Linked DNA regions of Tribolium castaneum. The main gene of each other region encodes a partner of the protein of the gene in region 2 in a complex. Links are inferred from orthologs where the notes say so. Each region holds a gene or a part of one and is shown on either strand. Other genes may lie near its edges.

Region 1 (6,003 bases), about 4.6 Mb from region 2:
TCTCGTGATTTTTCTGCTCCCAGTCATATTTGTCATAACCCTGTATTTCGCAATGGACAAAATCGGTTTCGTGTCACGCTTCTTTGACCCAAACTCGATCGACTCCAACATTTGGAGCATAATTTACCAGCCTATAAACGTCTCAATCCCGGAGAAGAGTCAAGAAATCAACGATGTTGTCAAACATATCTACACCATTGTGAACGCGACTCGGGACAACACCAAGATAAACATCTACCGGAGGCCTAAGCAGCTAGACACCTGCCCCGACTTTGACAAGATGTACAGGTTCTACACCTTGATGGTGTTCCTAGTCTATTTTGTAACAATCCTCTACACGAAAATCAAGGAAATGAAACTGCGGAGTGAGGATGCCAACGCCGCTAAGCAGCTAAAAATTGCCATTATTTGCTTCGCTGCGTTGTGGTTTTTGAGTGTTTTGGAGCTTTTCTCCAAGACTTATTTATTCGATAATAACAGATCGAACCTGCTCACGGATATTTTTCTAACGTTGGGGAACTTGAACCAATTGTCGATCATTGGCATGAATTATTTCACGGCGAGGGAAACCGTGAAAAAATATAACCTTGTGGAACCGAAAGCTTGAAGAAAATTTGTTCCAAAAATGAAAATTTCCCGACACCGGGCACAACAATTCCAACATTTACCTTTACTTTAAGACTTCCTGGACTCGCGGATTCGACAAAACGAAGCATCTATCCGTTCACAAACAAATTACGACAATTTTTAGTTTACGATTTTGACAATACCACGGGCTTGTATGGATTTTAATAATTTTGATACCAACAAAATGAAGAGCATCGAGAACTAGTTGTAGGGTTTTTGTTTTTTTCCTGTTGTATAGTATTACGCTAATAAACGATTTTACCGACACACTGCCCCTTTATTTAAAATCTCACACCAAAACTGTGCCACATTTGAAATTGTTATTAATTATTTATGAGGATTTGTGCCATAATTTGCGATTTACTTTTCCTAGTTGCTCGGTTCCTCTGGTTGGTGCACCTGACACAACACCAAAAATAACAAAGATAGCGCTATGTTGAAAAGAGACGGGTGGTCGACACCTGACAGTTGAGGTTATGTCTCCTCGTTTTTCATTTTTTGACTGAAAAAAACATGGGTAAAAAATCAAAATCTTCGTCTGGTTTGGGCCGTTCCTTGATCAAGGACCGCTTCGGGAGCACCAAAGGTCGTAAACTAACAGCGGACAAGTCCATGGTACTGTATTTTAACAAATTACAAAACATGAAATTTTTTATTCAAGTTGCATACGACGGAATTGCAAGATGGGTACGATTGGGGCCGTTTGAATTTACAATCAGTGACCGAGGAGTCATCGTTTCAAGAGTTCTTGGCCACCGCTGAATTAACAGGTGCCGAGTTTCAGGCTGAAAAGCTTGACATCAAGTTCGTGAACCCTAAATCAAATGTGGGTTTGCTGACTAAAGATGAGATGAATAAAGCGAAGGATTTGCATGACAAGCACAAGGGGGAGTTGCGGATTCCGAGACGGCCCCCTTGGAACGCAAACATGAGTAAAGAAGAGCTGGATCAAAATGAAAAAGAGTACTTTCTCCAGTGGCGCAAAGGCTTGGCCAAATTGCAGGAGGACGAAGGCATTCTCTTGACTCCTTATGAGAAGAATCTTGAGTTTTGGAGACAATTGTGGAGAGTTGTGGAGAAAAGTGACGTGATTGTGCAAATTGTTGATGCCAGAAACCCGCTTCTTTTCTATTGTGAAGACTTGGAAAAATACACAAAGGAAGTGTCACCAGACAAAATGAACATTGTCCTAGTTAACAAAGCCGATTTTTTAACACTGGAGCAAAGGCAAGCCTGGGCTGACTATTTCATGTCGCAAAACGTGAAAGCTGTTTTTTATTCAGCGGCTTTAGCTTCGGAAACCCCAAAAGAGAGTGAACCGAGAGGTGACGAGGACCAATCAAAACTGAATCAGCTGCAAGACTGCGTATCCAACTTGGAAAAAGAAGTTGAAAAAACTGCCCAAAAATTGAATGAGATTATTGGGGCCCTAAAACTAGAGTTTCAAAATTCAAGCGAGATATTAACCAAAGATCAGTTGATGGATTTGTTCAAAGACATTCATAAGGGGCCTAAAGTTACTGAAGATATCACTACTATTGGCCTTGTTGGGTATCCAAATGTGGGGAAAAGTTCTACAATTAATTCACTGTTGTCTGCTAAGAAAGTTTCAGTTTCGGCAACTCCGGGAAAAACCAAACATTTCCAAACGCTTTTTCTTACGAAAAATTTGCTTCTCTGCGATTGTCCCGGCCTGGTAATGCCTAAGTTTGTTTTCACAAAAGCCGAAATGATTATAAATGGAATCCTGCCAATAGATCAAATGCGTGATCATGTGCCCCCTGTAAATTTAATTGCGACGTTAATTCCCAAACATGTGTTAGAAGACAAGTATGGGATTATGTTACCAGCTCCCTTGGAGGGCGAGGACCCTGACAGGTGTCCCACTTCAGAGGAATTACTCAATGCATATGCTTGTAAAATCCAGTTGAAATATTTTTTATTAATGTTAATAATTGTTTTATTTTGTAGATAACAGAGGGTTTATGACTGCTAATGGCCAACCTGATAATCCCAGAGCCGCTAGATACATTTTGAAGGATTATATGAATGGTAAATTATTATATTGTCACGCTCCTCCAAATGTTGTCCAAAGGGAGTACCACAGGTGGCCAGAAAGGCAGAAATTTCGCTCTTTGGAAAAATCAGCCCCTCCTCGCCAAATACGTGCTATAAAAGTATGAAGATGGCATTAAAAATTGTTCATTTATTTGATTTTTGTAGACAAGTCGTGCAACAACTGAAGACGTTGATAAGTTATTTTTTCACGGAGGCTCATCAACTGTACATACAAAAGGAAAGACAGTGATAAATGGTTATGGGGCTGCCAAGTATGCAATGTAACGTTTGGTGTTTTTTCTATTTTTTTCTCGTAGTGGCAGCGTCCAACAACTGGGTGATAAACCTTGGAAAAAAATCAACAGGCATGAAAATAAAAACAAGAGGGAGAAATTGAGAAGAGTTTATGCTCATCTGGACCAACACTGACGTCTCTGTTATGTAAAAGTTTATTCAGGAAGACAAAATATAAGTTGTGAATATTTTATATGAACCAATAAATTAATTAAATACAATGCTGTGCAAAATAGGCCTTTGGCATTTTTCCTCAAAATTGTGTAAAACCTCCTCGATATCATTGTCTAAGTCCTCGGCTTTGGCTAACTGAAAGTTGAAGAAAGTCAATGATAATTCCCCACCCCTCATTGAGTTACCATAAGACACATATCACTTATTAAAAAGGCTCCTATTGTTGCTTCCTCCAAGTTATCCTGAATATCAATATTGATCACATGCACTATGGAATTATCTACAGGCGTTTTGCTCTCCATATACTCCACCACTTGGTCGTAAACTCGTTCCTCGCAAGTTATCAAAATATCAAACTTTTCGTCAGTCTCCTGGAACCTTTCTGGGTGTGTTTTAATCCTCCTGTTCCTATCCAAAGTGTGAAGTAAGCCATTTTGTGTGTACCTAGTAAATCGTCAAGGAAAAACCACACCACTGAACGGAACCAACTTCTTTAATAAAAAGGATACAGTGACTTGTCTTTACCCAACAAGTCGTGGTAAATCTCGTCGTAGGAAATGCCAAAATCGTATATGTTTGGCTTATCTGCTGCTGATCCAGGTATTTTGACCTTGTCCCCAGTTCCAAAGGACTGCACTAGGAAGCCTTTTTTCGCCAGGAAGGCATGGGCCTCCATGCTGCGGTTCATGTTGCTGGAGCATATTACCGCGATGCGTAAATCGCTAATATTGGACATTTTCTTAATTTTAATCCCTTTTTGTGAGAAATTAACGCAAAGTATTTAACATAACCCAAAAAACTATAGTCTAAACTTAAAAGAATATGATGCAATTTGATTGTTATAATAAATACAAATAGAGCTATGAGAAAATGCGATAATTAACTAAAAATTATCAAATCCATAGCTTTTATATGCCAAATTAGAAATTTGGAAATTGCTAATGTGGAATTCAAGGTCGCAAGGTGTAATAATTTTGGGAATTTTTGTCCAATTGTTGGTGTCACTGATGTTGCTTTTTAAAATTACAACGATTTATTATTAAGCAGGATTTTAGTAATTTCTCAACATTGATCAATTAATTGACCGAAAATATCCCTACCGGTCCTATTACTTTCATTTTGGGATTTTTTACAACAAAAATATTACACATCTTTCACTCCGCGATTTAAATTTTACGAGATTGGCAGTTCTGTGATTTAAAAACATGTCAGGCGCTTGTTAACCTCAAAAATGTGCAAATTTATTTATTTTTATTTTCCATTTATCGTACTGTTTTCTCACGTAAGGAGCGAATTAATTGTTAGTGCCAAATTATCAAAAGTATGGGGGCCTGGACTCAAACCTCACATTTTTACAATGCCGGCGAGGTATTTTTTTATTCAAGCCGTAAATTCAGAAAATCAAAGGTACAACCAATTTTTATACGTTTTCATTTAGTAAAAACACATTTTAGTATTTCCTCAGACTTGGGGGCAATCTTCGACATACACTTTGAAGGTGTAACCAAGACACAGAAGCCTTGCCGCATTTGGGCAAACAGTCTCAATAGGAAAGACGGTTCCTACATTATTAGATATAAGTTGTATGAGCCGTGCTTCAGCTTAAAAATTAATATACTCCTCAATAAGGAACATGTGGACAAGTCTCCTTATGAAATTCCAGAACCTGTTTATCCAGACGATTGTGATTGTCCAGTTGGTGATATTGCCCAATTTTTGGAAAAATGGGAATGTGGCAACACCCCTCGGCAAATTCTCGCCGACCTGAAGCCCTTCCAAACAGTTAATTGGGATAAACTTAGGGATAAAGTAATTAAAAAATTCGACCAGCCGCACTCAATCAGTTTGTGCCGCTACGTCATAAAAAATAATGAAATTTACCGTACTTGTTACGGAAAATACGTAGGTTTTAAGATGTTCATGGACGCGATTTTGTTATCCTTGAGCCGAAAAGTGAACTTACCCGACCTGGAATTTTTCATTAATTTGGGCGACTGGCCTTTGGTGACTGAAAAAATCGAAACATTTCCAATTTTTTCGTGGTGCGGAAGCACCACAAGTCTGGACATTGTTATGCCAACGTATGATATTACCGAATCAACACTAGAAAATATGGGTCGAGTGATGTTAGATATGCTCTCTGTCCAAGGAAATGTGAAAGAATCGTGGGAAAATAGAACAGGGCAAGCGTTTTGGCGAGGAAGAGACTCAAATCAGCACAGACTTGATCTGATTGACATTGCGAGGAAACATCCCGATTTGTTCAACGTTTCGTTGACGAATTTCTTCTTCTTCAGGGACAAACAAGACGTCTATGGCCCCAAATCGGAACACGTCTCATTTTTTAGTTTCTTTGATGTGAGTACAACAATTTTTTTAAGTTTGTTCTACGGAGGACAATACGAGATACAAAATCGCAGGATTTCCTGAACCCAAAAATAGTACGGCGCCAAATCGTTTTAATTAATTTGAATTCAACCAATTCACTAATTACTTGAAAAAAAAAAATGCAGAAATGTTGAGTTTTGCACTTTTAAAATTTTCATAAGAAGCATGAGAAACAAATTATTCAAACTTTGCGCTTCGTCCCGTATTTTTTAAAACGCTGCGAATAAGGTTAAAGATACAAGAGAAAAATGTTAGGAAGAAAGTTGTAAAGAATTAAATTTCTTTTAAAAAAGTTCGCGAGTCCATATCTCTATCGTCAATAGTTTAGGCCCCAAAGACGTTCAAAAACGCTGAAACGACGGATTTGTTTCATTTTACCGGTGGTCAAGTAATGGAAAGATAATTTATACTTAAATTGTAGAAAATTGAAACATGGTGTCGCGGACTTTTTATAGGAAATTT
Region 2 (9,247 bases):
TATTATTCGTAGAAGTACAAAATGCACTAAAAGAGCTTGAAATAAAACGCGATCAAGCCAAAGACGCACTTTTCGACTTGGAGGAAGAGTACTTAAAAACTGAGAAAGAAAGCTCTGAGAAAGAAGAAAAGCTCAAAAGAGCTGAACGTTGTTTAAAACTCGCACAAAAGAAAGTTCGTCACAAGGAACGTGAAAAATATGACGTAAGTTTATTTACATTTTTTCCAATTATTATTTGTTTATCTTTTCAGAGAGACTTGGAAATCCGCCAATTGAAGGAAGCTAATCTCAGTGCTATGCAGCGTTTGGTGGAAATGTCTATACGTTATCAAGAAATGGCACCGCTGATTACTCGTTACACGCTCGAATATGACGTCAAATTACCCGAAAAACGCACAATTGCCTCCTTGTGTGCCTGCTCAGAATCAACAAGGTCTACGTCCAGCAGTTCTTGTAATCAAGAAAAAGACGTTTCTGACGTTAAAAGCGTCAAATCTGAGTCCAGTTCGACGAAAAGTTCCGCAATTTCAAAAGTCTCAATTACATTCCAAATGTAGGTAAAAATACACAATTAAAGTAAGGTTTTTTATTCATTTGTTAATAAAATTGAGATAATAAAAGTTAAATTAACGCTTATTCCATTCCGGGCGGCAAAGGCTCGTTGGCTAATGTCGGGGGCGCAGCAATCGGCTGAAAAAAAAATTGTCTAAAAAACCGCAGAAAATTGGAACTGCTGATTAAGCTGCAACTAAAACAGTTCCACCCAACAAAGCCTTTTTAATTGATTACAGTTTCGATCTCAACTATTTTAAATAGTATTAAAAGTCACTAGGACTTACCTCTTCTGGAGTTACAACCACCGGTGGCGGAACAATCGTTGGTGGCGGCTGTGCGTAACTTCCTAAAATGATTTCCTGGACTGTGGGCGGGATGTGCGACCTTTGCCCTTCAGTAAAATTCAGCAAATGCTCTTTGAGCGGTTCCCTCAACTCGGGACAAATTGACAACGCATCAGATAGTTGGGGCGGTGGTAATTGCATCAAAACAGTAAAACTTTGCGGTTTTGTTCTTTGACAACATTTGATAAATCCCTCCCATACCACTTTCTGTTTCCAAACCTTCAAAAAGCAACAAAAAATATTGATTATTTTTTTTTTGTAATACGACAGAACCTGTTTTAAGATCAGACGTTGCAAAATATTCATCACGAACCCTGACAGTCGGGGATAACTGCCCAAAGCTTGGATGACAGTCCTCATGAGTAGAGTTGGTAGCGGGGTTTGGTCCATTAACTGTTGCAAAACAACAGCTAATACTTCTTGAGTAAATACCTGGAATTTGGTAATTTGAGAAATATATTCGGTGCGAAAATAATTCGTACTTGTTTTTCCTGAAGACACATAGATGTGGCCTTAATTATAGTTTTCAAGTCGGCTTTCGTGGAATCAATTAAATGTAGAGCGACCAAAAGTTCAGTTGGGGTAATTGGACTGTCACCATGTAAGCCTAAAAGTCGGTTAAAGACTTCCCTTACAACAACCGGGTTCAATTTAATTAGCTTTGGCAAAGCTGCAATTACCTACAATTGTACAAATTAGTCAAAAGTACAAACGACGCTCGACCTCATTACTTCTTTCTTTGATAACCCGTTCAAAACTGGGATAAGAAACCTAACATCTGACACTCTCGTGTGATACAATTCCCTGACTCTTTGCACCAACTGTGCACTCGGGGGGCCCTTGTCCGTCAAAACGTGTATAACACGCGTGACCAAAGTTTCCGAGCCTTTGGGACACTCCTCCACCAGTTTTAGAAGCTCAGGTGAGTCCATCCCCATTGATCTGATCGGGGTTTCAAGCAGACGTAGAATAATCCGTTTAATGTTGGCCCCCGTCTGTACGTAAACCTTAGCCAAGTCATGAATAAGACTCTCATTGGCTGGCAATAGCGAAATATACGGAATAAGACAAGCTTTTATAAAATCATCGCCCCAAGTCTCGCTCTTCAACCTCCCTTGACTAAACCCACACAAACTCTCCGGCGGCCTTTGCAACTTCAAAAACTCCAAATTCATTCGTGCAAACTCCTCAATCACCAACCTCAACTCCACCTTCTTGTGCAACTCCAAAACGTGTCCAATGGCACACTCTCTTACCACGCTCAATTCGTACGTCGTGTACGAGAGGAGGGCGTTGAGGAACATCAACTGTTTGGGGGGCTTCCGGACCGTCAAATCGTGCAACAACCCCAAAGCTGCTGTGCATTTCTTCTCGTCTCGGCACAACTGGTGGAGCTTATCCAAAGCCTCGTCTGTTATTAAAGGCGCTTCCAAAAACAATCGACAGAGCACTGCTGAGTCGTGCATACAAGCGTTTATAAATGTGCAAAGCAAGATGTTGTAGCTTTTGTCCAGTTTGGTGTCTTTGCGTAAAGGGGGCACTCTTGAGAAGCCCTGCAGTATTCCGTACTCTTCAAAAAGCCACGCCAGGGCCAGGTCTATGTGAGACCGTAAGTCTGATAGGAGAAACGCCAACACTGTTTGTCTGACAGTGGGGCTAAAGCAGGCTGCGATTGTGGTGATTAGTTTTTGGTACAAGCATTTTGCGGCTGTTTTGTCCGCGGTTAAAAGTCGGTTTATGGACCCTATTAACAATTTCTCCTTTGTTTCTTTCTCGATAGGTTTGGTGATTTCGGACAGTTTCAGTGTCTTGATTCGGGGAACTTTTGCTCGTTCCTTCTTCAGGAGCTACCAAATGTGTAAAACATGTTGTAAAACAAATAGAGGCTTCATTATATTTTTTTTTAAGAATAATTACTAAAATTTCTTTGACCTCACAATTACGATAAGTTATCAAAACATAACTTAAAAAAAATACAGGATGCGTGATACATAACTTCTCAAATCATCCGAACCAACATAAGCTAACAGATAAAGATAAATACATAAATAAATAAATAAATAAATAGACAAATATTTGGTACAATGAATTACATCTTATCTTTTCTTAAATACAGCTGAAAATGTGAAATCTGAATTGCAAATTACTGTTTCTGTTTTACTTATTATTATATTATTTGTGTGCAAAAATTGTTTTCTTACCTTTTCCTTCTCTTCCTTGTCCTCTTCCTCCTTCTCCTGCTGTCTAAATTCCTCGACCTTTTTTGCAAAACTTTTCGAAGACGGCGAAACCCCGGCCTCAGTCAAATACGTGGCAATAAGTTTTGTCAAAACATCAAATTGGCCAACTTTTCCACTATCGACATATTTGCCATACTCTTTCGCAAAATCGGGAGACATTGTAGCCGGCAGTTTACTCATAGAAGCGAAAACCATTTGAACCGCTCTTTCCAACGTGAAATTTTCAGACACAAAGTTCTCATTCAACTCTTGCAGTGTTTGCGAATCACTGTCATTGGTGTCGTTATCGAATTCAATTTGAGGATCAAGTCTAGGTCTTTTATTGTAGATCTGAAGGGACTCAACTGAGAGAGTCCTCTTGCAATATTTCCGCCGCTCGTCGGGTTTCGGTACCATTTTAAGAATGTCTTGCTGGGAATAACCTGAGAAAAAAATCCTAAAAAATTTTTTTGCGTAAAAATAAAACGCACCTAAATCGGTGAGCATTGGGGTTAATTTCTCCACAAATTCGTAAGCCGCTGGGTGTTTGATAAGTCCAGCGAGTTCGGATTTTAATTTTTTACGCACGGAATTCACTTGAGTTGTTGTTAGAGTTGGAGGTAGGTTATTGTAAAGTGATTCAATAGCTGAGACAACTCGAGACATAAATTCGGCCCGATTTTTTGCAATGTTTGTAACAACGCCCAGGCAGGTTAACAAGTTGGCACTGCTAATATGGGGAGAGCCAAAAAATTTTAAAAGTAACTCAAACAAGGTACTAAAAAATTCAATTAGAAATTTGCGAATTTAAAAAAAAATAAATACTTTGCTTCCTCTTCTAGTTTTCGCCTCCGCGCCAATTTTAACGTCAGAGGAACATCATCGAGTGAGAAGTCGTTCGGTTTCTTGTTCTCTTCCTGGTCGGGATAAGTTTGCAACAACACAACACATTCTAAAAATTTCACTGAACTAGTCCTAATGCCGTCATTGTCACTATCAATCATATTTGCAATTTCTAATTTTATGGCAGACAATTGCTTCCAGGCGTTTTCCATTTCTTCTGTAATTACAGAAGCCTTGCATAACCAGGCCAACGTTTTGCGATAAATACTGATTAAAGCTTGAATTACGCGCTTTTGCACCGCTATTGACTCATCACATAGTAGCATATGAAGGTTTAGCATTACTTTAGGTAAAAGAGACTCGCGCATTTTGCTAAAACAAAAGTTAAGTAACCAATTAAAATGCATAAAACCTACCATAACTCTTCAATAAAACCCACTAGCGCTTTTTTCACGTCCCCATTCCTATCAGTCGTGAAATTAAGCATGTTTTGTAAAAACTTTGGCAGCAAATGGGGCGACTTCCGAATCAAAACTTCTTGCAATTTGTGGAAGTATTCAAGCTTTTCTGCAGCAGAGCGGGACACTGCAGCGCTATTTATCCATTGGGTCACCTAAAACGCGTCTCTTTACTACCGAAATCAACTAAATCTCGGTTTTTTACTAAATCCTCGTCGGAAACTTCGTTCATGGTAAAATCCATGTCGAGAGGATTTTACAACCAAAAATGACGCAATTGTTGCCACTAAAGCAACGAAATTTCGAAAACAAAGCTAGTTTTATCTAAAGCGTTAAATTAATTGAAAATGAGAGCCAATCATCCATTTTTGGAAAGCCAAAGATTGAGGTTATGGCAGAAGTGACGTGAACATGTTACCAAAAAACAGTAACTTTTCCGCTTTTTGTTGGCGACTTTTGCTGTCAAAATACTATTGATGTGTCAAAATAATAAAAAATTATTAAAATACAATGTAATTGCTAATTACTTGGAAATTACAATACAATAGATTAAGTAACTATCGAGATGGAATCGAATACGCCATCCGAAAGTGGCAAGAAAATCGTTTTGGAGAATTTATCGAAAGAGGAATTGGTTAAACGGTGCGAACGGCTTTTGATTCTCGCCCAGAAGGCCAAACAGGCGAAGGACGCGCTCCAGGAGGAAAATAACGAGCTGAAAAATAGGCTAAAATCGGAATCTGGAGATGCCACAACTGCAATTATCGAAAATTTGACCCAACAGAAGTTGCAGTTTGTTACCACGATTGAAGACTTGAAGAGCCAAAATGCCGCTTTGGTGAATAAAGTGCAAAACTGCACGCAAGACGCACGTCTGTGTGAGGAGAAGGATAGGCTTGAAAGCGAGAATATTTCGTATAAAAGGCAAATCAAGCGTTTGACGGATGAAAATGAGCAGCTGATTACGCATCTGGAGTCTCTGGAAAAGCAACTCGAAGAGTGCAAAAACCTGGGACTTGAACAGCAAAATCAGCTGCTGATGTTGGAAGAGGCGAATCAAAAGTTACGGAGTGATGACACAAGTGATAAGTCTGCAGAGTTGCAGAAGATGCTTAGTATTAGTTTAGAGGAAGTTAAGAAGTTGCAAGCTGAGAATAACACAATGAGGGAGAAAATTGACGTGCTCAAGACGAATCTGGGGGAGAAGGATAAGAACATTTTAACGATAGGCCAAGAGTTGCAGGAAAAATTGAAATTGGTCGAGGATTTAGAAAAAATCAAAAATGAAACAAGAGAAAATGTGGAGTTGGTTGAGAAACTTAAAGGGAGACTGAAATTTTATCACTCAAAAGTTGTAAAACTGGCCGGTAATGTGAAGGTTTTGAAGGAAAATAAAAACGAGGTTTTGCGTTTGCTCAAAACGTACTCACATCAAGTGGAAGAATGGAAAGAACAGTTGGGTGTAGCTTCAAAAAAGTTGTGCCAAGAAATTAGTGATATCAAAGTACAGAACTCTGAATATCACAAGGAAATTGAAGGTTTGAAAGAAAGTAATGCAAAATATCTGAAACAACTTGAGGCACATAAAACCGACGACGAGAAAAGTAAAGAACTTGGCGAGTTTGAGAGAATTTCCAAAGAACATAAGAAATTGATTGAAGAAAATCAAAGATTGTTACAACTTCAACTTGACTACCAGCAAACTGTTGAAACGCTCACTGTTGAAAAGGAGAGTCTGCTTGAGAATTTGTCTCAATTGGAGGAAAGACATCAGGAAGAAATCAAAGTTTTTGACGACCAAAGCAAGAAAGACACAATTGAGATCAAGAACAGAATCGAAGAAAATGAAAAAATTTGCATTGAATACCGAAAAGTCATCTCCAAGCTGGAGGAGGATCTAGATTTAAACTTGAGGGAGCTAAATGATGCGAAGCAGAAGAATTACAGTCTTCAAGAAGCACTTGAACATTCAAAAGAAACGGAGAGGCAAATTGCTGATAAAACCAGTGAAGAAATACTTAAACTAGTTCAAGAAAATGCCCAGTTGGTGGAAATGAACCGAAAATTGCAAACCACCCGTGATAACTGCAAACAAGTGGAATGCCAAACTGAGGATTCAACAAACAGCGAACTGGAAGAAGTCGTGTCAGGTTTGAAGAGAGAAAATTCCGAACTTTTGGCCGAAATGAACGAAATGAATCAAGCACTGAAAGAAAGAGGAGAGACTATTTCCAAATTGCAATCTCACTGCGAAGAAGTTATGAAAAAATTGCAATTGTATGAGACACAAGCCAACAAAAACGTTGACAACATATCCCAAAAGGAGGAAATAATTAAAAAACTTGAAGACGAAATCGAGCGACTTAAAGCCACGAGTGACTTAAACTCAAACACCTCCGAAATCAGTGATTTGAAAAACGAAATTGAGAATTTGAAAGAACGGTTAAACTCGAATCTTGATTCAAGTTACGCCGATAGCGAGTGCATGTCCACGTCGACAATTTCAAGAACGGAGGAATCAAACAGAATGAAAGATCTGGAAGGGTCTTGGGAGGAAAGATACGGAAAACTACGAAACTTGGCCGTGAAACTGAAAGGGAAAGTTCGTGACTTGTCCAACGAATTGGTGAAGGAGCAAAACGAGAAGAACGATATTCAGCAAAAATGTGCCAGTAACGTGAAAACCATCGCAACTTTGCAAGCCCAGTGCGATAAATTACAAGACGAATTGGACGAAAACAAAAAACAAATAAAGGAATATTCCGCCCGATTGGATTCGACCCTTGCTGAAGTTTCCAAAGATAAGCAAAAACTGAGCGAAAACGAGGAGATAATCACCATACTCAAGAAAGAATTGGAAGAGTTAAACCAAGAGAAAGTCACGACTGAAGCCTGGAAGAAGCAAATAAGCGGCAAAGTTTCGACGTTTAGAAAGGAACTCGAAGCGAATAAGGTTTTGAAGAAGGAATACGAGGCCAAAATCGCCAAACTCACCTCGGACTTGGAGGCCAAAGAACAGGCGCTCAAGGCCGAGAGCGAGTACCACCAACAAACGAAAAATTCCCTTGAACATTCCAATATCGAACGCAAGAAAAACTCCGTCCTTAACCTGGAAATGCAAGACTACGAGAGGAGTGTCAAGGAGTTGTCCCAGAAATTGGAAAAGAAGCAAGAAGAAATCAACAAGTTGAAAAGCCAGCTCGAGTCGCAGAAAAGCACAACAAATGCGGTCCGCGAACAGAACAAGCTTTTAGAAGAACGAGCGGAAGAGATGAAGAGCGAAGTCGGAGCAACACAGGCTGAAATTATCGCTTGTAAGAAGCAAATTTCTGACTTGGAATCGGTCATGTCGAGTAAGGAGAACAAAATTCACGATTTGACCCAAATTTTGGAAACCGTGCGTTCGGAAAATGAGGAACTGTCGACTGAGTTATCCAAAGTCATTGCCGAGCATCAGAAAGTTAACACAAGCCTGAAAAGCGAGAAAGAAAATTTGAAAGGGCAAATTCTGGGGCTGCAGCAGACTTTGAGAGACGTCCAAGATGCGCTAAAACTGAAGGAAGACGAACTGAAAATCGTGCAAAATGATTACGAAAATTACAAGGTTCGGGCGCAGAGTGTCTTGAGACAGAACCAGAGTCGCGATGTTGGTCTCGAGGAAAAATTGTCGGAAGAAGTGTCAGCTCTGGGGGTTAAGTGTGAGGCTCTCACTGCGGAGCTAAACAAGTGCAAGTAAGTTAGAGTGGAAATTTAGTTTTTGTGACTGATGTCACGTTTGTAGAACTGTTGTTGACGATTTGAAGAAGGAAAATGAAGCATTGGTTCACGAAAAATCGGAAGTCTTGACCAAATATGAAGATGTGTTGAGCGAAGTTGAGGACCTTAAATCGCTCTACGACCAACTAACTAACAAGCATCAGCAGACCATGATAGAACACAGCGAGACTGTCAGGAGTTTAAAGGTAAAAATGGATTTGCATGACAGATAATTGGGTTATTTTGAGACAAATATATAAACGCATGCTATGAAAATTATATAATAACTTGATAACTAAAAGAGATTTAAAAAATCTTGAAAAATTATTACATTTTTAAAGTAGTTGATGTATTAATTATGCAACCAATATTACAACAATATCACCTAGCCAAGTTCTTCGGGATGATTTATGACGCCAGGTAGTCGTTGTGATCGATAAGACCCTGTAAATATTTATTTATGAGACTTTATAATAAGGGGGCTGAACACTTTCACATTATTTTGAATTTTTTCCGTTCATATTAAATAATAATAAAGATAATTTTCATTATCCTTGATAGTAAAGTAAAAATTAAAGAGCTTTTTATTAATTAAATTAATTAATTAATTATGAATTAATTTGCAAAATATCAAACAATTGGTTGACCTATTTCGTTATAGTACTCAACACCCGAACTGAAAACCGGGTGTGGAGTTTTGAGATTGAAGTTTTGTTAAAGTTTGATTTTTTCTTCGGGAGGAGAGCAAGTTCTTTTTCCAGTAATGTGCCTGTTTTTAGGTCCATGCCGAGACGTTGGCCCAGTGCTACCGCCAGCAGTTGTCAGAGCAGGAAGTCCGTCACAACCGGGAAATAATCGAACTGCAAAGCAAAATCGAGAAAGCCCCTTCTCCCGAGTTGCAACTGCCGCCTCTGCCGATGCATCGCGAGGAAGGAGAAGGGTCCGAAAGTACCGAAAATACGAGTAAAAATGCCATGCATCCCGTACCTTTAGAAAGATTGTTAGGTAGCGACAATGACCAGGAAATTGTCTTTTTGAAAAAACAGCTAAGTGAGGAGGAATCTAAAGTGGT

The links.
Region 1: the proteins of Sym (region 2) and Ssu72 are in contact, whole or in part, in a crystal structure (PDB 4YGX), measured with the Drosophila melanogaster proteins. The link is inferred for Tribolium castaneum from reciprocal best matches to the Drosophila melanogaster genes Sym and Ssu72. Residues at the interface, in NP_649580.1 of Drosophila melanogaster: Glu91, Ala117, Lys121, Gln125, Gly128, Ser129, Glu169, Asn170, Asp171, Gly172, Thr175, Asn176, Lys179, Phe180, Arg198, Ser240, Ser241, Val242, Ile245, Ala246, Ser249, Thr281, Ser283, Gln284, Ser286, Ser287, Lys290, Met294, Gln295; in NP_001285455.1 of Drosophila melanogaster: Glu114, Tyr117, Asp118, Val121, Met122, Glu125, Glu128, Ser129, Val130, Asp131, Asn132, Arg133, Pro134, Asp168, Asp170, Asn171, Asp174, Gln178, Glu181, Val187, Ile188, Leu189, His190, Ser191, Val192, Phe194.

What each region holds. Positions count from the first base shown.
Region 1 is NC_087398.1:12,797,974-12,803,976, reverse strand, and holds Ssu72 (RNA polymerase II subunit A C-terminal domain phosphatase SSU72), read right to left. Parts: upstream 4,127-6,003; 5' UTR 3,890-4,126; coding exon 3,663-3,889; intron 3,598-3,662; coding exon 3,339-3,597; intron 3,289-3,338; coding exon 3,187-3,288; 3' UTR 3,117-3,186; downstream 1-3,116. Other genes in the region: Ns3 (large subunit GTPase 1 homolog), read left to right, coding at 1,141-1,242, 1,289-2,543, 2,599-2,804, 2,851-2,957, 3,003-3,114; protein O-glucosyltransferase 2, read left to right, coding at 4,385-4,560, 4,608-5,511.
Region 2 is NC_087398.1:8,152,979-8,162,225, reverse strand, and holds Sym (symplekin), read right to left. Parts: upstream 4,812-9,247; 5' UTR 4,664-4,811; coding exon 4,625-4,663; intron 4,575-4,624; coding exon 4,378-4,574; intron 4,334-4,377; coding exon 3,944-4,333; intron 3,897-3,943; coding exon 3,610-3,896; intron 3,562-3,609; coding exon 3,101-3,561; intron 2,747-3,100; coding exon 1,631-2,746; intron 1,580-1,630; coding exon 1,382-1,579; intron 1,332-1,381; coding exon 1,173-1,331; intron 1,119-1,172; coding exon 840-1,118; intron 691-839; coding exon 634-690; 3' UTR 572-633; downstream 1-571. Other genes in the region: Ccdc39 (coiled-coil domain-containing protein 39), read left to right, coding at 13-203, 252-557; GRIP and coiled-coil domain-containing protein 2-like, read left to right, coding at 4,985-8,151, 8,201-8,381, 8,955-9,247. UniProt on the Drosophila melanogaster protein: Component of a protein complex required for cotranscriptional processing of 3'-ends of polyadenylated and histone pre-mRNA. Involved in germline stem cell transit amplification, differentiation and mitosis-to-meiosis transition.